Linked DNA regions of Lepisosteus oculatus. The protein of the gene in region 1 purifies or fractionates together with the protein of each later gene. This does not show direct contact. Links are inferred from orthologs where the notes say so. Each region holds a gene or a part of one and is shown in the gene's direction. Other genes may lie near its edges.

The links. Proteins that work in one complex are often made in the same cells at the same time.
Region 2: the proteins of pkmyt1 (region 1) and zgc:86839 purify together in Homo sapiens (affinity purification with mass spectrometry; 3 studies listed by BioGRID and IntAct, counting the BioPlex papers as one, with this or other methods). This does not show direct contact. The link is inferred for Lepisosteus oculatus from reciprocal best matches to the Homo sapiens genes PKMYT1 and CKS2.

The regions. Positions count from the first base shown.
Region 1 is NC_090699.1:1,217,308-1,221,102, reverse strand, and holds the start of pkmyt1 (membrane-associated tyrosine- and threonine-specific cdc2-inhibitory kinase), read left to right. Parts: upstream 1-756; coding exon 757-1,137; intron 1,138-3,795. UniProt on the Homo sapiens protein: Acts as a negative regulator of entry into mitosis (G2 to M transition) by phosphorylation of the CDK1 kinase specifically when CDK1 is complexed to cyclins. Mediates phosphorylation of CDK1 predominantly on 'Thr-14'. Also involved in Golgi fragmentation.
Region 2 is NC_090698.1:20,805,345-20,809,139, reverse strand, and holds the start of zgc:86839 (cyclin-dependent kinases regulatory subunit 2), read left to right. Parts: upstream 1-1,137; 5' UTR 1,138-1,292; coding exon 1,293-1,351; intron 1,352-2,926; coding exon 2,927-3,054; intron 3,055-3,550; coding exon 3,551-3,594; 3' UTR 3,595-3,795. UniProt on the Homo sapiens protein: Binds to the catalytic subunit of the cyclin dependent kinases and is essential for their biological function.

The DNA.
Region 1 (3,795 bases):
CTCACCTGCGCAGTCCCTTCAGTCAGTCTGTCCCTCGCCTGCGCAGTCCCTGCAGTCAGTCTGTCCCTCGCCTGCGCAGTCCCTGCAGTCAGTCTGTCCTGCCCTCACCTGCGCAGTCCCTGCAGTCAGTCTGTCCTTCCCTCGCCTGCGCAGTCCCTGCAGTCAGTCTGTCCTGCCCTCACCTGCGCAGTCCCTGCAGTCAGTCTGTCCTGCCCTCGCCTGCGCAGTCCCTTCAGTCAGTCTGTCCCTCGCCTGCGCAGTCCCTGCAGTCAGTCTGTCCTGCCCTCACCTGCGCAGTCCCTGCAGTCAGTCTGTCCTTCCCTCGCCTGCGCAGTCCCTGCAGTCAGTCTGTCCTTCCCTCGCCTGCGCAGTCCCTGCAGTCAGTCTGTCCTGCCCTCGCCTGCGCAGTCCCTGCAGTCAGTCTGTCCTTCCCTCCCCTGCGCAGTCCCTGCAGTCAGTCTGTCCTGCCCTCCCCTGCGCAGTCCCTGCAGTCAGTCTGTCCCTCGCCTGCGCAGTCCCTGCTGTCAGTCTGTCCCTCGCCTGCGCAGTCCCTGCAGTCCTGTTGCTCGCCCCTGTGTCCTCGCCTGCGCAGTCCCTGCAGTCCTGTTGCTCGCCCCTGTGCCCTCGCCTGCGCAGTCCCTGCAGTCCTGTTGCTCGCCCCTGTGTCCTCGCCTGCGCAGTCCCTGCAGTCCTGTTGCTCGCCCCTGTGTCCTCGCCTGCGCAGTCCCTGCAGTCCTGTTGCTCGCCCCTGTGTCCATGCCGGTCCCGCGGGAGACGCAGCTGTCCTCCCCGCCTCTCCCTGTTCCTGCCTTCTTCAGCCAGGCGGAGCAGAGCTTCTCCCTGAAGAAGAGGCGCCCGCAGCCAGACTCCTCCTCCTCCTCCTCTTCCCCTCCGCCCCTGTCCCGCTCCCTGCCCCCCCGGCCCCCCTGCAAGGGCGCCCCCCCCCTCAGCCGGGTGTTCCCCCAGCGGGTGCCCTCCTGGAGCCACCCCCGCCCCCGGCCGGTGTCCCTGGCCCTGCTGCCCCCCCGCCAGCTGCCCTCCTCCCAGTACAACCCCAGCAGCCCCCAGTCCTACTTCCAGCAGTGCTTCTCCTGCCTGGGCCTGCTGGGCAGGGGCTCCTTCGGGGAGGTGTTCAAGGTGAGGGGGTACAGCCCTGAGGGGGTCAGAGGGGAGGTGTTCAAGGTGAGGGGGTACAGTCCTGAGGGGGTCAGAGGGGAGGTGTTCAAGGTGAGGGGGTTCAGTCCTGAGGGGGTCAGAGGGGAGGTGTTCAAGGTGAGGGGGTACAGTCCTGAGGGGCTCCTTCGGGGAGGTGTTCAAGGTGAGGGGGTACAGTCCTGAGGGGGTCAGAGGGGAGGTGTTCAAGGTGAGGGGGTACAGTCCTGAGGGGGTACAGTCCTGAGGGGGTCAGAGGGGAGGTGTTCAAGGTGAAGGGGGTACAGTCCTGAGGGGGTCAGAGGGGAGGTGTTCAAGGTGAGGGGGTACAGTCCTGAGGGGGTACAGTCCTGAGGGGGTCAGAGGGGAGGTGTTCAAGGTGAGGGGGTCAGAGGGGAGGTGTTCAAGGTGAGGGGGTACAGTCCTGAGGGGGTCAGAGGGGAGGTGTTCAAGGTGAGGGGGTACAGTCCTGAGGGGTACAGTCCTGAGGGGGTCAGAGGGGAGGTGTTCAAGGTGAGGGGGTACAGTCCTGAGGGGGTCAGAGGGGAGGTGTTCAAGGTGAGGGGGTACAGTCCTGAGGGGGTCAGAGGGGAGGTGTTCAAGGTGAGGGGGTACAGTCCTGAGGGGGTCAGAGGGGAGGTGTTCAAGGTGAGAGGGGGTACAGTCCTGAGGGGGTCAGAGGGGAGGTGTTCAAGGTGAGGGGGTACAGTCCTGAGGGGGTCAGAGGTGAGGTGTTCAAGGTGAGGGGGTACAGTCCTGAGGGGGTCAGAGGGGAGGTGTTCAAGGTGAGGGGGTACAGTCCTGAGGGGGTCAGAGGGGAGGTGTTCAAGGTGAGGGGGTACAGTCCTGAGGGGGTCAGAGGGGAGGTGTTCAAGGTGAGGGGGTACAGTCCTGAGGGGGTCAGAGGGGAGGTGTTCAAGGTGAGGGGGTACAGTCCTGAGGGGGTCAGAGGGGAGGTGTTCAAGGTGAGGGGGTACAGCCCTGAGGGGGTACAGTCCTGAGGGGGTCAGAGGGGAGGTGTTCAAGGTGAGGGGGTACAGTCCTGAGGGGGTCAGAGGGGAGGTGTTCAAGGTGAGAGGGGGTACAGTCCTGAGGGGCTCCTTCGGGGAGGTGTTCAAGGTGAGGGGGTACAGTCCTGAGGGGGTCAGAGGGGAGGTGTTCAAGGTGAGGGGGTACAGTCCTGAGGGGGTCAGAGGGGAGGTGTTCAAGGTGAGAGGGGGTACAGTCCTGAGGGGGTCAGAGGGGAGGTGTTCAAGGTGAGAGGGGGTACAGTCCTGAGGGGGTCAGAGGGGAGGTGTTCAAGGTGAGGGGGTACAGTCCTGAGGGGGTCAGAGGGGAGGTGTTCAAGGTGAGGGGGTACAGTCCTGAGGGGGTCAGAGGGGAGGTGTTCAAGGTGAGAGGGGGTACAGTCCTGAGGGGGTCAGAGCGGAGGTGTTCAAGGTGAGGGGGTACAGTCCTGAGGGGGTACAGTCCTGAGGGGGTCAGAGGGGAGGTGTTCAAGGTGAGGGGGTACAGTCCTGAGGGGGTCAGAGGGGAGGTGTTCAAGGTGAGGGGGTACAGTACTGAGGGGGTCAGAGGGGAGGTGTTCAAGGTGAGAGGGGGTACAGTCCTGAGGGGCTCCTTCGGGGAGGTGTTCAAGGTGAGGGGGTACAGTCCTGAGGGGGTCAGAGGGGAGGTGTTCAAGGTGAGGGGGTACAGTCCTGAGGGGGTCAGAGGGGAGGTGTTCAAGGTGAGAGGGGGTACAGCACTGAGGGGCTCCTTCGGGGAGGTGTTCAAGGTGAGGGGGTACAGTCCTGAGGGGGTCAGAGGGGAGGTGTTCAAGGTGAGGGGGTACAGTCCTGAGGGGGTCAGAGGGGAGGTGTTCAAGGTGAGGGGGTACAGTCCTGAGGGGGTCAGAGGGGAGGTGTTCAAGGTGAGAGGGGGTACAGTCCTGAGGGGGTCAGAGGGGAGGTGTTCAAGGTGAGGGGGTACAGTCCTGAGGGGCTCCTTCGGGGAGGTGTTCAAGGTGAGGGGGTACAGTCCTGAGGGGGTCAGAGGGGAGGTGTTCAAGGTGAGGGGGTACAGTCCTGAGGGGGTACAGTCCTGAGGGGGTCAGAGGGGAGGTGTTCAAGGTGAGAGGGGGTACAGTCCTGAGGGGGTCAGAGGGGAGGTGTTCAAGGTGAGGGGGTACAGTCCTGAGGGGGTCAGAGGGGAGGTGTTCAAGGTGAGGGGGTACAGTCCTGAGGGGGTCAGAGGGGAGGTGTTCAAGGTGAGGGGGTACAGTCCTGAGGGGGTCAGAGGGGAGGTGTTCAAGGTGAGAGGGGGTACAGCACTGAGGGGCTCCTTCGGGGAGGTGTTCAAGGTGAGGGGGTACAGTCCTGAGGGGGTCAGAGGGGAGGTGTTCAAGGTGAGGGGGTACAGTCCTGAGGGGGTCAGAGGGGAGGTGTTCAAGGTGAGGGGGTACAGTCCTGAGGGGGTCAGAGGGGAGGTGTTCAAGGTGAGAGGGGGTACAGTCCTGAGGGGGTCAGAGGGGAGGTGTTCAAGGTGAGGGGGTACAGTCCTGAGGGGCTCCTTCGGGGAGGTGTTCAAGGTGAGGGGGTACAGTCCTGAGGGGGTCAGAGGGGAGGTGTTCAAGGTGAGGGGGTACAGTCCTGAGGGGGTACA
Region 2 (3,795 bases), on another chromosome or scaffold:
ATCTTGAAATTAATTATGTAGTTGTCAATTCACAGAATGCTGTGTTAATACTGTAATATGTATGTTTCATTCCAATTAATTACTATATGTAGAAAAAAACTCACCTATCTCTTCCTGCTGTTTCCTAGAAAGCTTTCTAATTAATACTTTGAAGCTGTTATACGATTGTTTTTTTCATCTGCAGTTCAATACTTTATTAAATGTAAGAAATACCAAGTTCATGTTATAAACGGAATAGGGAACACGTTCTCGGTCATTCTACACCCAAATGGCAACTTAGTATAGATATCTTCAGGTGGCACAGACATTCAACAAAAAGCAAATAAATAACTGTAAGTAAAAATTCTTATTAATCAAACTAATGGTTTTGATTTTTTACAAGAGACCACTGAAAACTACACGTGATTAAAAAGAAACAGATGATGCAGGTATTTGCAAACCAGTCCTGACGACTTGTAAATCACTAGATCCTTATTTTCTGTTGGTGTGGTAGGATGAAGTATTCATATTTGTTTTTATTAAAACGTATTTATTTTACCTAGCATTTCTGATTAATGGCATGGTTATACCCTAATTTGCTGGTCTGAGAATCGAAATCTGGGAAATAAGAACAAATTGGGCGGTATTGTCAAAATTAATTGCGACCATATCCCACGTCTGTCTATGAGTTTCGAGTTTTGAGAAAACACATTTCATTCCAGACGATACAGATTTCCCAATCTAAAAACAAATTATTTAATATACATGTGTATCGTTTGAGAGTTTTCCTTTATTGTCAGCCGCTGTAAACAAATTGCCCCTTATAGATAATAAAGACTCTTTCCTAATGTTAAGTGTAGTTAATTCAAAGCACACAATTTAGGTAAGATTATACAGTTGTGCTATAGAAACGACGTGCAGCGAAATCTATTATCTTTAACATCTTCAGTGACAACTTTTAAAAATATATCGTAAATAATGATCAATTTTTACCTTACACATTTTACCAGTATTGCAAGAACCGCCCCCAGTATTAATTATACCTCGTGGTTCCTGAGCGTCTCAATAATAAAAAAAATTGACCTCCTTCCCCGTGATCCTCTGCGATTCTCGCAGGGAGAGGGATGTCACGTGGCATCCCTCTGTCCAATCAGAGGCTTGCTCTCGCTGTTCAATTCGCAGTTCTGTTGCTGTTTGAAACCAGTGTCGGTTGGACTGGGAATCAGAGCTGTGTGGAGAAGTTACTATTTTGCTTCGTTTTTAAAAGTATTACTGCTTCCAGTTTTGTAGCACAGTCATTTTTTACTCAAGCCATGGCTCATAAGCAGATCTACTACTCCGATAAATATACCGATGACCACTATGAATACAGGTAAAATAATTATCATTTGTTCAGTGCTTCATAGTGTGGTAGGAGGAGGAGTAGCTGTAGTAAAAAAAATATTTACTAGACAGTGGTAAATAGTAACTCGTGAGATTTAAGCCTTATAAATGGTAGTGATTATTCTATATTGTATAGCGCGGTGGATGCGCGAAGGCTGGAAAGGAGGTCTCTGTTTTCATTACAAACACAAACTGATGAGAAATGTTTAAGCTTTGTGTATTTTTGTATTTTAGCTAGTTAAACGTAACAAAAAAAATGATCGATTTTAATCTGCGATTTCATGTTGCGAACAGTTATTTTCTGTTGTGGGCTGGGTGAGTCAGTGAAAGTTACTTTCCTGTTCGCCATGCGGGAGATTTTTTTTTTTTAGCGTCGGTATCAAACGGGCTTCATTCGAAAGGAAACCACTCTTGTACAAGCATTCAAACTCATAAGAACTAAAATTGAAAAAAGCTTGTTTAGTTGGAGACCCGGAACTTTCTAGAAAACGAGGCTGCTGGTCCCAGGCTGAACTTCGGAAAACAGACCAGCCAGTGTTTCCTCCCGGCGCCTGCAGATAAACTCCCCACGTTTCCTGTGGACGAAATAAACCAGAGATGCGAAACGCGACGATTCGGCTTTTCAAACATCAAAGAGAGACGGTGGATGGTATACCTGCAGTTTTAAGCAAATTGCTAAATCACAGGGCAGTTTAGGTTGGTTCCTTCTAAAGCAGAATGTGCTCCACCTTCACTGTTTTCAGATTAAAAAAAACCTTTTCCGCAGTTTACCAATGCAGTGACCGAATATGTAATCGTTCATTTTATTTAGAGAAAAGTCGACTTTTTTGCACCCCGTGAATATGATTTTCAGGGGGTATGTCGTTTTCAAGCATGATCTTCTATCTTTACTTGCAGATGTTGTTGTTCTCTTTGGTAGAACTTTTCAGGCCCATGACTTCCTTGAGTGTTTCTTAAATCCCCTCGGTGTAAATATCACTGCAAAGCCCCATACAAAGAGCATACAAGTATCACTGCAAAGCCCCATACAAAGAGCAAATGCGAACTCATCAAATCGCATATCTGTGAGAGTGATTCTCTTAATATGCTTTGTGAGCTTTTAGAATTTGGCTGCAGTTCTTTATGGATGACTAGTACTTTAAAACATTGACAAAATATATACATGCTGGTACTGTCCATCCCCAGCAGTGTTGCTGCAGATCTTTGCTGTAGAGTTGTGGAACTCTAAAACGTGACTAGCCAATAGTTTCTCAGGAATAAGTTATTTACTGAACCTCACTACCACCTCCTTGGATGTTTAAGTATTCTGCAAATGTAGAAAACATATTTTATATATTTATGCTATAAAATCTGCACTTAATATTTCTACGAGTAGGTGGTGTCCTTCTTCCCCCACAGCATATATACGAGAGTGTCTTCTCCTACTTAATTTAATAAGTCACCTGTAGTTAGTGTTTCTCTTTAGATGTTGATTATAATCCTGTTGGAATGGGGATCACCGGGAGTAGAGATAGAGATGTCTGTACCACAGGATAAATAAAGGTTTTTGATTTTCTTTTAACAGGCATGTAATGCTACCCAAGGAGCTGGCAAAACAAGTACCCAAAACACACTTGATGTCAGAAGACGAATGGAGGCGGTTAGGAGTACAGCAGAGTCTTGGATGGGTTCACTACATGATCCACGAACCTGGTTTGTACTTACTATGGCACTTAAACCCTCTGAAATCTGTTCTGGCTTTCTGCTTTTGCATGTTCAGGTTAATTGCAGTTTTTACCAGGAATGGTTTCACTCCAGCCAGTTTTTCCATTTTGATGAGATCCAGATATCAAAACCCTTTATGTATAGAAAACGTAGTCTAAAGGAATTTTTAGTATTCTCTGCAAAAGATTTAGATTTGGACCTCAATTTTACTAGCCTGTATTTTTTTTTATAGTTTAAGACATAATGACTTGTGTGAAATGGTAGATTTAGAGCAAAGAATAATTTGTAGTGCTGTAGGGAAGCAAACACTTTTTGTGATGAAGGTAGAAAAATAAAAACTGATTGAATTCGAACTTATCCTGTTTTATAGGAGCACAAGTCCTCTCCAGGACTAAAGATCAATGCTTTTTGACAAATTAAGTAGCATACTGAAAAAAGTCTATGTATATGGAATAGATTATAACTTCACTCCCTCTTATTTCAGAGCCACACATTCTCTTGTTCAGAAGACCTCTTCAGAAAGAGTAAAGTGAACTTCCGGAATCTTCACATGAATCTTCTGGGACATTGTTCATTATTGTGGTATTCAGTGAATACTTGGATTTTGCCAACAAATTTGCCAACTCCTGCGCATGAGCTGTATTCTTCACAGCAACAAAGCTCAGTCAAAATACAGAGGAGAAAATGGATATTCTGCTTAGTACATGTGGGAAAGGGAACGGAGTGGAA